3 linked regions of the Canis lupus familiaris genome follow. The protein of the gene in region 1 purifies or fractionates together with the protein of each later gene. This does not show direct contact. Links are inferred from orthologs where the notes say so. Each region holds a gene or a part of one and is shown on either strand. Other genes may lie near its edges.

Region 1 (4,927 bases):
TTTCCTAGTATTATTGAATAAAAATATTTGTTACAAATCAGATAAATCAGATACTAATGAGGTATCATGGAACTCATTCATTTAATATATATATATATAGGCGCCTAGTATGTATCAGGTACTATCCTAGGTACTGGAGTCAAAACAGTGAATAAAACAGACATATCCCTATCCCCACAGAGCTTATGTTCTAGAAGAGAAGGCAGAGAAGTAAACAAATAAATACATAATATACTGCCAGACAATGCAAATGTTTTGAAGAAAAGTAAAGTATCGAGAGGGGATGGAGAGTGCTGGGGAGTGCGGTCAGTCAGAGAAAGCCTGAGATTCTATCTGAGCAGAGACTTGAATCAAATCAGGAAGCATGTGGTGGTGAAAGGGTGTTCTAGGCAGAAGGAATACCAGGGCAAAGGCCCTTAGATGAAAATGTGCTCTGTGTGTTTCAAAAAAGCAAGACAGCCATTGCGGCTAGACTAAAGTGAGCAAGAATGCTAGGGTGAGTTAGAGAGGTACACAGTATCTTATTAACAAATTAAGGACTTTGATTTTTATTTATTTTATTTTAAGTAGGAATGGAAGCCAATAGGAAAGGGATTGGCAAACAGGCCCAAGTTTTATTGGGACACAGATGTGCTCATTTATTTACATACTAAATGTGGCTGCTTTTGTTCTATAACAGCAGAACTGACTAGCTGGAAAAGAGACTGCATGAGTCTCAAAGTCTACAGTAGTTACTATCTGGCCCTTTACATTAAAAGTTTGCTGACTGCTGGTCCAAATAATCATATAACCTAAAAATTTCATAGCTTTTAGGGAAAAAGTTTATAGTTAAAAAAAAATCTTATTTATATATAAGTAAAAGTTAAAAACTTTGTCCCACTTAAATTCCAAGTTGTTAGTCAAACTTCAGTATAACTGAGCAAACTAATGAGAAATTTATAATTCCATCAGTGTTTTATTAAGAAAAATTAATGTACTATATAATTTTAAAATACATAAAAATACCACTGAACGTTACCAAATGCATGTAAATAGTCTCTAAGTTCACAGTACTTAAAAATATTAATGTGAAAACAATATAGAGTATATGATACCATAATGGTATATACATATCATTACAAAATTGTCCAAACCCATAGACTATACAACAATAAGAGAATGAACCCGAATGTAAACTAAGGATGGTGTGTGGTAATGTGTTAATGCTGGTTTATCAACTGTAACAAAGGTATCACTGTGATGGAGGATGTTTATAATGGGGGAAGCTATCTATGCATGTGTGAAGGCAGGGGTGTACGGGAAATCTGCACTTTCTGCTCAATTTTGCTGTGAACCTAAACTGTTCTAAAAAATAAAGCTATTAATTTTTTTTTAAAAAATAGAGCTTACATTACATTAACAGCAACTCCAACTGCTGCAGTGATGAGCATTATATCTCCATTTATTTCATATTTCATATGGATAGTTCTTTGGACAGCTTCATATAGGAGGAATCCCATAAGTATATACACCAATAGCACACTAATCATAGCTGATAAAACCTCTGGAGGGAAAAATATAAAGAACATATACATCTGTAGTATGGTTATTACACTTCATACAAACTAAATATTGTACACTCTTTTATTTATATCTTTCCTCTAAAGAGATAAAAACCCTGTATCATTTGTCATGTTACTTTCCTTATGTAAAAAGTGTATGGTAGTTTGCTCTGGATTCTCCACTAATTCATTCTTACCAATCCCCACTTTTCCCTCATCTCTTTAGGGTCAAACCGTGTATATTTAACAGACCATACATATGATAAAAAATGAAAAACTGAAAAAATAATTATTTGTAACATACATGGCCACAGACTAATTTCCCAGTAGAAGAGTACACTTATAAATCAATAACAAAGTGAAGAACCGATACCAAAAATGGGTAAAGGACACAAATACTAATATACAGAAAATTAACAGAAATAACCAATTTATCAAAATCAATCCTAAATACAAGAAATTCAAAAAAGAATATGATTGGTTTTTGTCCCTTACTAAACTGGTAAATATTAAAAAGCTTGATGACAGCCAGAGTTAGCAAGGATATACTGGTGGAAGTATCAAGTGGAACTATCTTTTTGGACAGCAGTTAGTAAAACAAATCGAAATTTAAGATGCATGTATTCCTTGATTCTAGGAATCTATTCAATAAAACACGTGATATATATGTAAAGATATACCTACAAGGTTTTTCATTGTAACTTCACTAGTATCAAAAAATATCTGGAGATATCGTAAATGTTCACCAATAAGGAAATTAATGGATAAAGTGTGATTTATCCAGATAGTGGAGTATCATTAAGCCATTTATATTTTTTTTAAAAAAGGGAAAAGGAAAAACAAAAATCAGGCAAATTGATAATCACAAGGAAGTGGCGACTAGGAGCTTAGCAAACTTAGTTTTCATTTTATTCTTTTCTGTAATGTTTGAAATGTTTTAAGTTTTACCACAGACACATACTATCTTTAGACTAAAGACAAACAATAAGGCATGCAAATATTCATGAATGTACTTTGACACAGAAATTCTTCTTCTTAGAGTGATATACACATTCATCACATGTGCAAAATGAGGTATATTATGAAGCTATTCGTCAAGCACAGTATATAACAGCAAACAACTGAAAACAATAAAAGTGATTATAAGGCCCTATAACATGGAATACTATGCAGCTGTTAAAAAAGAATATAGCTTTTTATGTTCTAATAAGGAGTAATCTCCAAGATATAGTGTTACACGAAAAAAGCAAAGTGCGTATGGTATGTTACTACTTGTGAAAAAAGAGAATATATAAATAATATCTGTACATCCAATCTCTGAAAGGACATACAAAATACTGATGAAAAAAACTGGTTATGAGGAAAATAGGTAGCTAGGAGACAAGGACAACTGCACCATATATGCTTTTGTATCATATAAACTTCTACCATGTAAGTACACAGTAGAGATAATTTTTTACCTTTTCAAGATAACACAATAGGGCAATGGGAAGTACATTTTTAAATAATTAACTAGGATTATAATATAAAGCAATTGTTGACAGTCAAAACAATAAAAGCAAAAAAATACTTTTAAAGAAAATTTTTCCTTTAGACAAACCAGACATTAATCTTATTAAAGGTAAAACAACTTGGGAGACTGTTATCTGAATCAAGTCATTGCTAAAAGGTTCCAGGCAGCTCAAATATATTGAACTTTGATACAATTTTATTCTGATGCATAAATTACAACACAGAAAAGTTATCTAGCAGTTATAAGCTGTTTCCTGAACATATCTCATCAATGTTGCGAAAACGCTGCATTTAAGGATACCTGGGTGGCTCAGTGGTTGAGCATCTTCCTTTGGTTCAGGTTGTGATCCCAGGGTCCTGGGATCAAGTCCCAAATCAGGCTCCCTGCAGGGAGCCTGCTTGTCCCTCTGTCTGTGTCTCTGCCTCTCTCTCTCTCATTAATGAATAAACAAAAATCTTAAAAAAAAAAAATCCTGTGCATTAGCAGAACAAATGATGGAGTAAGACAACAAATAGTTCCTATTCAAAACCATGGTATGCCTATTTCTGACATACTCATAATCATACTTCAAAAAACACATGGGGCTGAAGAAGACTGAGAAAGACTCTGAAATATACAAAGCTGTGGAGACACTTCCACATTGAGGGCAGACTCTCAGCAGCCTGAGGATAGGACCAGTTCCATTCCATGTCACATTTACTATAGCACTCAACAGAGTGGTTGTCACATAGCAAATATTTATGGATGCATTTGCTGAATGAGGTTAGGCTGAGCAAGGGGAGATGATAAAAGGCTATACAATTAAGTAAGAAGGACAGGCTTTCCTAAATCCCCCAAAACAAGAAGTAAATTGGTTAGAAGAATTAAGTCAAATACCAGACAGAAGATGATGCACGGAATTTCTCATCTTAAGTTATACTTGCTAATGGTAAAGTACATACACATTAAAAAAAAAAAAAAAAAAAAAAGGAGCTAAAATATTTGTGCCTAGGTGGCTCAGTCAGTTAAGTGTCTGCCTTCAGTTCAGGTCATGATCCCAAGGTCCTAGGATCAAGCCCTAGGTCACTGGGCTCTCCACTCAACAGGGACTCTGCTTCCCCTGCTTGTGCTCTCTTTCTCTCTCTGTAAAATGAATGAATGAATGAATGAATAAATTTTAAAAGGAAGGGGAGGAGGGCGGGGGGGTGGGGGTGACTGAGTCGCGGGCACTTAGGGGGACACTTGACGGGATGAGCACTGGGTGTTATTTTGTATGTTGGCAAATTGAACACCAATAAAAAATAAATTTATTATTAAAAAAAGATTTTTTTAACTGTAAATTTAATATACTAGTGGTAGCTTCATTTTACTCACAAAATAAGAAAACTTTCTCTAAAGTTGGTATTTAATAAATACTGGGGGACCTGGCTGGCTCAGACAGTAGACAATGAGACTCTTGATCTTGGGGTTATGAGTTTGAGCCCTACACTGGGACTACTCCCAGTAAATTTTTTTAGGTAAAAAACAGAACAAAACAAAAACCAATTCTTCTTAAAACTCTTTCCCCACCCCAAAAAGAGAACTTTAATGTGTCAAGGTTGAAGCTATGAATTAGGCCACATAGTTTTTAAGATGACTTAATCAAATTGTTAATATAAAATTATAAGGCAATACGCTTTATTTACAAAAATTCATAGCTATTTAAGTTAATGACATACAGCTGTGATTACTTATGAAAATCTTAAACCAATAATTAAAAATTATCTCAAAATTCCCTATAATTAAGTTGACAATACTTTACAGTTTTCTGGGATAGCCCCAATTTATGTCTGTTGTCCTGGCATAATCATTAAAAGTGCGCCACTGCACTCTTCACTCTCAAAAGTCTCCTGGT
Region 2 (4,927 bases), on another chromosome or scaffold:
GGTACCCTCTGAAAAGGTTGAAAGTTTATCTTTTTGGTGGAGGAAATAACAAAAAAGATGACTTTAGGGGTGCCTGAGTGGCTCAATGGATTAAGCACCCGACTCTTGATTTGCTTTATCCCTCAGCACCTCCTGCTCCAAAATCACTTTACTGTGATCCAAGCTAGATCCAAGCTGGATAAATAGAAAACTGATTTTTGACACTTTTCTTGGAGAATTTCAAGCATACACAGAAGTATGGGTAGCTTGGTGAACTCCCTGCTGCTCCATGTCCCAGTCTTGTCTCTCCTCTCCCCCCATCTGTGAAGCATTCCCACATGATTTTAGGGTAAATCTCAGATATTCTCTTTTCACATCTGTCAGACTATATCTTTAAAAGATAAGGATTCTTCTTTAAAATAATACTAATGAAAATAGTTTATGAAAGTCATATAAACAGATGAGAAAAAAAAATCAGAATATTACTGAATTCACCCATGGTCCTCGTGCCCAAATAACCATTGTTAACATTTTGATATATTTCTTTGCAGATGAGAAAAAAATTATTTTAAGACCTTTTTCTACCTTCCCTGTCCTATGACCCAGACTTTGTGAACAAGTTTGAGATTATTAGCTTTATTACAGCTATGATGAGATAGATTATTAGAACCACTTTCTTTTTCTTTATTTTTTAAAATAATTTTCATTTCTTTATTCATGAGAGACAGAGAGAGAGGCAGAGACACAGGCAGAGAGAGAAGCAGGCTCCTCACAGGGAGCCTGACGCAGGACTTGATCCCCGGATCGGGATCACACCCAGAGCCAAAGGCAGATGCTCAACCACTGAGCCACCCAGGAATCCCCCCACTTTCTTTTTCATAGAGAAAAAAAATCAATATAAGCAGAATTTTAAAAGTATATCTATTATGGGATGGTTATGCTCTATAGAAGGAGCCATGGCAGCATTTCTTTTTTAATGACAAGTACTTTTTAATTTACAGAAATCTGGATTTTCAGAAACCTTGTTCTTTGAAAATATTCAGCAAGTATTGCATAGTGCCTATCAAGTGCAGTGTGAGTTTGCCTATATGGAAACGACATTGTTGATGACTAGCACATGCAATTTTAAGAACATTTTCAACCCTTTGTTTGGTGAGGTCCTCTTCTCTAAAGCAGCAAAGGGAATTTTCAAGGTTAATCTGAAACTTTTGGGCAGCCTGGGTGGCTCAGCGGTTTAGTGCCGCCTTCAGCCCAGGGTCTGATCCTGGAGACCCGGGATCGAGTCCCACATTGGGCTCCCTGCATGGCGCCTGCTTCTCTCTCTGCCTGTGTCTCTGCCTCTCTCTCTGTGTCTCTCATGAATAAATAAATGAAATCTTTTAAAAAAATCTGAAACTTTTTTTCAGCTATTCTTTTATTACTTATTTGTCTGGGGGAAGAAGACCATTTCTATAGTGTTAGACATTTCAAAATTAATCTGTAGGGGCTTAAAATATAAATGTATTAGGTGAGGAATAGCAATTGATTAGATAAAATGGAAGAGAAAAGAAAGAACCTTACCGACATAAAAGAGAATCAGATTGATTTCCAGGCCAAGAACGATCCTGCTTCCCTTCACAGTCTCCATTTCTTGGGGTGTGCGTGTGCGGTGGTGGGCAGTATGCATTTGAAGAGAGTGAGCTCTTTTTTTTCTGTCTCTTTAGAAAAGAAGAACTGAAGAGAGGAACTCTTATTAAGGAACCATAACCGGGAACTTTTTGAAATTGTGTAAAAGATTGTTTGTAACCCAGTTTCACCATTTAGAGTTGAGATTTTAGTATAGGGTACATTTCTAAATGTGCATATGGTAAATTGTTTCTTGAATTTGTAGACATTTTGAGGGAGATTTTGATTTACATGTAGTCTTTATTCCCAGGAGAGAGTATTGTTTGACAGATAAATTGTTCCTTTAAATTTCCAGAGTATTTTGGTCACTGATCCTGGGGTACCTACTGTGTGCTCAGTGCTGGGCCAGTCACACTGGAAGCAGAAGGAAGTGTTTTCATGTAGAGAGAAGAGAAAAATTAATGAACAATACATCGTGGTATAATGAAGAAATGCTATGTGACATTAACTAGCTGTACCTCAGATTTGTGTAACCCCTTTCTAATGTGTCTTTGAGACCAAGAGTGGGCCCTCTGTTGAAGTTCCCTCCTCCTCCCTCTCCTGCCCCACGGAGGCCTCATCAGTCGGGTTCTTCCTTGGAAGCAGCAGAAACAGACTCTGGCTGATTTCAGTGAAAGGAAATTGATTGAAAGGATTCAAGGGTAGCTCACACAGTCATGGGAGGATTGGAGAATCATGCGTAGGGTCTAGAGCCAAGAAAAACACCTCAGAAAAACATGCTGTAAAACTGATCTGAAAAGTGTACTCCTGCTGCCGAGCACTAGGGACCATGGCACAGACTGCACTCTATTGTTCATAACACTTGATGCTGCCCCAGCTGCTTAGTGTCATGGCCACTGCTCTGCCCTCCCAGAGAAGGAGCCTACGTCCCTCTTGTCTGGGTCACTAGGTCTTCAGTCTGTGTCCCAGGCGAGTGTTCTGAACTTAAGTCATGTGCCGGTGCCTTCACCATAGGAATAGAGGGGAAAGCTACTTCCCCAGGCTTTGACTGCCATAGGACTCTAGGAAGAGGGTTCAGGTGCCGGGTGTCTTTGTACTCTTGGCACATATCATGCATTTTCTCACAGAAAGTTACTCTCTGTCTGAATTTAGTAATATACTTAATATGTGTGCATTTTAAAAAACATCACAGTATATACAAACAACCTAGAATTGACATATACCATCATCTGTGTGTGTCTGTGTGTCTGTAGCCAATGCTTGGTGTGAACCTGAAGACTTTATCCAGCCACCCCATCCCCACTCCTTAAGCATCTGAATGCTCTCCTAGGCTTGCAAATGACCGGGACAGATTTCAGCCACTAGTCCAAGAAATGCCAGGCCGACACATCCGTTCTAGTGCGCGCTCTCTCTCTCTCTCTTTGGTTTTGGAGCTTAACTTGTATAAAAGTGTTATGAAAAGTTAGGGAGTAGCTCAACTTCACTTGAAAAACACATCGATGATCTGTCGTTATAAATTAAAAGCCTCATTAGTCTGTTTTCGGCCTGATAAATCTTTCTAGTTAATACATTGCATACATTTACTATATCTCGGGTGTATTTTCTTGCATTTATCCCTAACCTTTCTTTCACATTTTATGGGTAACTCTCTGCTTTCATATTCCTGTGTTTAATGAGGAGTTCACTAAAACCATGAACTATTACAACCCATTTGGTCTAATGAAGGGTAATATCTGAAACTGTCAAAGATGGTAAAACTATAAGTTTTGGATCCAGACAAACCTGGGAATGCATTTCTGCTCTTACCCTCACTAACCTTGTAGGCTTGGGTGAATCCTCAGCCCTCTGGGTCCATACTTCATTTCTGTCCTCTTACCTCGGGGATATGAGGAAGATGATTCATCAAAGTCCCCGGTGCTTGGCACATACCAAGTCCTTGGCAAATGTTGTTCTTCCTCCCTTCTCTCTTTAAGTAACTTGTTTGTTCAAGAATTTAACTTAATGTTTCTATTTGTTTTAGTAGGTGGCAAGTGGGAGAAACCATCAGAAATTTTAGAAATCAAGGGACAGAATTGGGAAGAACAAGTGAATAGTCTGCCTGAAGTTTTCAGAAAAGCTGGTTTTGTTATTGAAGCTTTCACCAGACTACCATACCTGTGTGAAGGTGACATGTATAATGACTACTACGTTCTGGATGATGCTGTCTTTGTTCTCAAACCAGTATAGACACGTGGAGGCCCAAGTCTTCAGAGCCCACCCCAAGAATGTACACTCCAGAAGAGGGTCTGCGTTTGCGGTTATGTGAAGGGAGGACCTTTGGGGACTGCCATTCTAAATATCATGTAGGAATTTAAAAAGCCAAAATACTAATTATTTCTTTGTAGTGTGTAAAAGGAATGTTTTTAAAAAACAAAACCCAACTCTTTGAGGATTTTTATCAACTCTTTACTCAGTAATACAGGTCACACTCCAAGTATGGAAGATATTTTTTATACTTAATTGCAGTAGGGACTCATCCCCAGTCAAAGCAATAGTCACGACTTCACATGGAACCAATAAATATGGATTGTTTTTAATAAAATGAAGACTGGCAATAAAGCTGTCCATTCAGTTGCAAATATTTGGTTACAAGGTATAGCCACTGATACTCTTTCATGTTTAGAAATTCTGTCATTATTCAAAAAATGTTTTTAATCATGCTAATAAACTTTTTTGGAGATGACTCTGGCATCATGTTTGAGTTAATATAAGGCTCCCCTAGGATCTTTTATTGCTTTGGCTTCAAGAGTGCCCACATAGTAGCATTAGGTGAAAAGTACAGTTGACTATGTGATAAAGGCTTCCGACTGGGTGAGGGGCTGGGGGATTATTGAAATTGTGGTGAACACTGAGGCAGTCTAGACTAACCCTTGAAAGAGCAACCTCATTCAGATCTAATACTTCAGGGACCATCTCCCACTCCCATTTTATGTTGCTTTGGGAAGTGCAAAACACTGGCTTCTGACTTTGTGATAGCTTCCACACTAGACTCAGAATTCTGTTTTTCTGGACAATCTCAGGTTCTCATAATTTTTTTTTATTCTTTTTTTTATTTATGATAGTCACACACACACACACACACACACAGAGGCAGAGACACAGGCAGAGGGAGAAGCAGGCTCCATGCACCGGGAGCCCGGCGTGGGATTCGATCCCGTGTCTCCAGGATCGCGCCCTGGGCCAAAGGCAGGCGCTAAACCGCTGCGCCACCCAGGGATCCCTCAGGTTCTCATAATTGAACCATTCCGTTGTGTCTGCTGATAAAACGCAGCCTAAAAATGTTTTAATTCCCCTTCTTACTCTA
Region 3 (4,927 bases), on another chromosome or scaffold:
TGGTAACAAAACTGCAAGCATTTGTGAAAACTCATAGAACTACAGACTAAAATACATATGTTTTATAGTATATAAATTATGTCACAATAAAACTGACTTAGGAAAAAGATCAATGTTTCTATCAGAACAAAGTTCTAAGAAAGAAAAAAACCCTTTTGAAGAAACAAAAGCCTCTAAATTTGTTCCTATAATTGATGTCTTTCTTTTTTTAAATTTTTTAAAAGGATTTTATTTATTTATTTGAGAGAGTGAGAGAGAGACAGAGAGTGAGATGGAGCATAAGAGGGCAATGGCAGAGGAAGAGGGGACTGAGTAGGGAGCCCAACACTGACACCAGGGCTGGATCCCAGAACCCTGAGATCATGACCTGAGCCGAAGGCAGATGCCCAACCGACTGAGCCATCCACGCACCCAACTGATGTCTTTCTGAACCAAAAGATGACAACAGTGATCATAGGGAAAGCTGAACAAAAACACTAATCGACGCACCCTCTGATTTCTTAGAGAACACAAACTTTTAGTCCAGAGACAACCTATACACTACATTTGGGGAAATGAAAAAGTGAAATGGGAATTTTTGTGCAATGTAAAAATCACCAGAGGCAAACACAAAAGTCTGTTTTAATTCTTACACTTAAAAATCTTGAAAATTATAAGATGGCATATTCTGCATACATACAAATTCTCTCTAATTATACATTCATAACTTTAGGGTTATTTCTCCAATGTCTGGCTGTGCTTTGCTCATTATTTTATCATTGCATTCTAATACAGCTACCTGAAGTGAAATTACTACCCAGTGAAGTTGCATCCCAAGTTCCTTAGAATTTCTGCCTAAGATAACAAAAGAAACTGACTGGGGTACCTTTCCATTTTCTTTTCAGTGAAATATTATTATTTAACATATACTAAAAGGTAGTGTCAGGAATCATAATATATTTAAAACAAAATTCAACTTACAAAAAATTTAACAATGATTTACATCAACTTTAGGGCTCCACACTTTTTTCATTTGTATATTTGCACATATTTTTCTATTTCTATATACAGTCACAAAATACATGCACAAAATAATTCTTTAAATAATAATTTTAATTTAGAAAAGACCTGAAGATTAAATTTTCAAGTAATTTAATCACTCAAACTTTAAACACAAAGAATTCAATAGCCAAAATTGTCCTTTAAATACCACATAGTCTACCCAACTCAAATCCTCTTCAGATCTGCATTATCCTATAAAACTGCATTAAGCAAAGCATACAAGCATACAGCTCCAATTAGCAGAATCATGATGCTCAGAATCAGCTTTAGGGTAGAGAAGCAATAAGGATGGAATTAATCAGCAATTGGTCTAATGGTCTAAATATGGCTAAAATTTTAAAAGGGACTGCTGAATGCCCCTTGAGATTAATGCTTACTTCTGTAGATTAATGCTAAAATGATTCCAATAAACTGATGGATTTTATTTGTAATTTCACTTAAAATAGCAAAACAGTATTTCAAATCTGTACAATATTGGGGATGCTGTTAATATATATAAATCTCTTGGTTGTGGGGTAATTCTTTTCTTCTTCCCAGTGGTAGATTGTGTTAATACAACAATTTTTCTTTTACTGTTCACTAATGAGACAGTAATTGCCATCAGAATCCTACTGGGAATATAGACTTGTATATATAACAGGCCTAAGGACAGGTTTCACTGTATTTATAATGATTCTCAGATACACTGTGTTCCACATGAATACTCCAGTACCAAAATGTTTTCTTTTCTATGGAAGATAAACTGCATATTTTCAGGAATATGTAAACAGGAGAAATAAATTTAACTAGGGAGATCTCAGGTTCTTCTTTCTAAAGCAACTAAGTAGAAAAGAATTAAAAGAAATGTAGCCATTTATTAAAAACATGTGCAACCTTTAATTAGAGATCCTAAAAAGGTGTTATTTTAAAGTCTTTAACGTGTGAATTAGAAACATAACTGCCAGCCTCAGTATGAGTTCCAATGTACTATAATGTAAAACTGCATACTCCAATTATTGATTGTATATGAAGGAAATTTATAGGAAGATATTTTAATGCATTACTGGCTGACACCTTCAGAGTTCACTTAGGGTTATAAAGATTTCTAAAAATACATTTTAAATAATATTTTCCAGTGATATATTTTAGTTGATGAACTACACTTGGGAATTATTGTCCTTAAAATCTTAGGTACTCTTCTTCTAAATATGGTAGGTATCACTTACCATTCAATAGGGAAATTAACAAAAATTCCAGTTTATATTCTTAGAGTATAATCTTTACCAAAGCCCCAATGAAATGTAAAAAAAGAATAGCACCTTTCATGATGTCCCAAATCTGACAGAAATTCATCTGCATGTCTTTGGAGTACATTTCCTTCTAAATTCTTTAATTTCTTTAATTCACTTTGTAGAAAAAACCAGAGCTCTTTAGCTCCATTTTCAATCCTCCTCCTTAGGATTTCATGATCCTTCCCCAGACCTGCAGTCAAAGAATAAATAGTATTAACATTTTCATATTTTGATGAAAGAAAATTTTAATTATTTGTGGTAATATCAACATATTAAAGAAGAAAAAGATTACATAATCACCTACCATTTCTAGTTTGTTTCTTATAATTTTCAATCTGTTCTTTGGCCTTCAAAAGCTGTTCTTCTAAAGCACGAACCCTTCCTGAAGCTGGCGCCTGGTCGATGGGACCTTCTGGTATCCTGTAATTCAAAAAAGAAAATGTAAACATTTCGCTTATAAATTATACAATAAAATTAATGCTTACTTTGCTACAATATATTTATTGGTAACTCTAGAAGTCATAAATCATATATTAGAAGTACAAAATAAAATTTTCTCTCCAAAGGTATAGGATAAAGCATAAACAATGGAATGATACTGAACAAAACCAGAAAAAAATAATCTAGCTCAGATATCTATGACCTTCTAGGAATACAGGAGCCTTTAGGATTGTGTCCTAAAAACTCTCATCATATCACTTAGAAAAACACCACCCGTGGCATAGTGGTCAATTCTCCATTAGTGTCAAGAGCAACAAAGGTGAAAGAGAAGGTGACAAAAAGGCTTAAGGGAAATAAGAAGGTATGAATCTAAACATGTGCGGGTGTTCAAATAGCAAATACAAATTATTTCTGAATTCATCACAATATCAAGTTATGTAAATTGGTGCTTCAATTCATAAACTCATGACCTTAGATTGCTAAGTACTGGTTTTATTTTATTTTTTTATTTTACTTTATTTTTTTTTAAGTACTGGTTTTATAGAAAGGAAAGACAAGAGTAGAAGATGAGCATATTGGAAAAAAAATGAACAGTCTTGGATTATGTAGGTGGGCCTTAATTGTAATCACAAATGTTCCTATAAGAGGGAGGCAGAGGAAGGTTTTACTACAAAAGAAGAGAAGATGGTGTAGCTATTAGCTTTAAAGATGGGAGGACGGGGTCATAAGCAACAAATACAAGGAATGCATCCTTAGAAGCTGGGAAAAGCAAGGAAACAGATTCTCCTCTAGAGTTTCCCAGAGGAATGTGGCCCTGCTGACACTTTGGTTTTGGCCCAGTAAAACTCATGTCAGACTTCTGCCCCCCCAAACTGTAAGAGAATAAATTTCTATTGTTTTGAGCCACAAAGTTTGTAGTAACTATTACGGCAGCAATAGAAAACTAACACACGTTCACATAATACTTACATCCATACATCTATGTATATATTTGCATAATTACTGTCAAGATTAAATAATGGCTGATTTTCTTCCAAAATCTATGGAAGTATTTAGCACAATGTTTGGCAATAAACTATCAGGACCATTGTATCTGGGCTCAGGCATTTCAGAGATGAGCTATAATTGCAAAATATCTGGGTTATCTATTCTTATCACAATCATTTTAAGGGAACTTAATTTTTAAAATATACTTGGCAGAACTTAAATCCAGATGTCAACTCAGTCCTTTGATGCAAAGACTGCAATACAGATTTTTTATACCTTTTTGAATATTTTTTTATATAACAGCCAAATTAACTATTACTTACCTATACCACTTCAGAATAAAGGCTTAGTAAAGTAGCTCTTGGTACAAATCTACCAGAGTAAATGAGGTATTCTGTAATTGTATGCATTAACACTGAACAGCAGCATGAAAAATAACCATTCTCTAATCATGAGTATCCCAGGCTACAAAATTTGAATTACAAAGCCTTAATTTGTATACATAGAGTGAATAATGATAAAATAAACAGAGTTGTTAGGTGCACAATTACCCAATTTATAAGCTCAAATGTGCATACATTCATAAATGAGGCATTTCCTGGTATACAGTTTTTAAAATTTGGCTTTTAATCTCTTTCTGAAGTAGATGGCTGATTTCTAGGAAATAATTTGATAAGAGACTAAAACTACTACCTCTTAGAATTTATTTTTGAGAGCAATATGCCATAGGACAAGCATGTCCTTTTCCAGAACATACCTTAATGACAGAAAATTCCAGACAACACAAAAAAAATATGTCTAGGTTCTCTTCTTCATCTCATTTCCTCTTATATTGATGGAAAAAAATTAGTGTAAAAAAGGCAAGAAAAAACAGCATTAAATCATTTCAGTAGATTTCCATGAAGTACTAAATCCAATCTAATTTTAATAAAACATACATGAATTAGTAATTTATATTACATTATTATATATAATAATCTAATCCAACTGTGGATAAACTACAGATAAAAGTAATAGAGAAGCCAGTGTAAAAAAAAAAAAAAAGTACACAATAAGGACTATTCTTACCAAAACCATTCCAGAAAAGAGTCAATCTGCAAGGACATTATCTGAATATTTAGGATTTGATTTTGTTTTGCACCATACTAACTATGCAAAAGATATATAGGATATCTTCTGGCCAAGAT

The links. Proteins that work in one complex are often made in the same cells at the same time.
Region 2: the proteins of SLC30A4 (region 1) and METTL9 purify together in Homo sapiens (co-immunoprecipitation; 3 studies listed by BioGRID and IntAct, with this or other methods). This does not show direct contact. The link is inferred for Canis lupus familiaris from reciprocal best matches to the Homo sapiens genes SLC30A4 and METTL9.
Region 3: the proteins of SLC30A4 (region 1) and FUT8 purify together in Homo sapiens (co-immunoprecipitation; 3 studies listed by BioGRID and IntAct, with this or other methods). This does not show direct contact. The link is inferred for Canis lupus familiaris from reciprocal best matches to the Homo sapiens genes SLC30A4 and FUT8.

What each region holds. Positions count from the first base shown.
Region 1 is NC_049251.1:12,122,935-12,127,861, forward strand, and holds part of SLC30A4 (zinc transporter 4), read right to left. Parts: intron 1,544-4,927; coding exon 1,390-1,543; intron 1-1,389. UniProt on the Homo sapiens protein: Probable proton-coupled zinc ion antiporter mediating zinc import from cytoplasm potentially into the endocytic compartment. Controls zinc deposition in milk.
Region 2 is NC_049227.1:23,421,087-23,426,013, reverse strand, and holds the end of METTL9 (methyltransferase-like protein 9), read left to right. Parts: intron 1-1,539; coding exon of another isoform or gene 1,540-1,645; exon of another isoform or gene 1,646-1,696; intron 1,697-3,604; coding exon 3,605-3,810; 3' UTR 3,811-4,306; downstream 4,307-4,927. Other genes in the region: IGSF6 (immunoglobulin superfamily member 6), read right to left, coding at 1,540-1,645. UniProt on the Homo sapiens protein: Protein-histidine N-methyltransferase that specifically catalyzes 1-methylhistidine (pros-methylhistidine) methylation of target proteins.
Region 3 is NC_049229.1:40,144,158-40,149,084, reverse strand, and holds part of FUT8 (alpha-(1,6)-fucosyltransferase), read right to left. Parts: intron 2,733-4,927; coding exon 2,617-2,732; intron 2,503-2,616; coding exon 2,340-2,502; intron 1-2,339. UniProt on the Homo sapiens protein: Catalyzes the addition of fucose in alpha 1-6 linkage to the first GlcNAc residue, next to the peptide chains in N-glycans.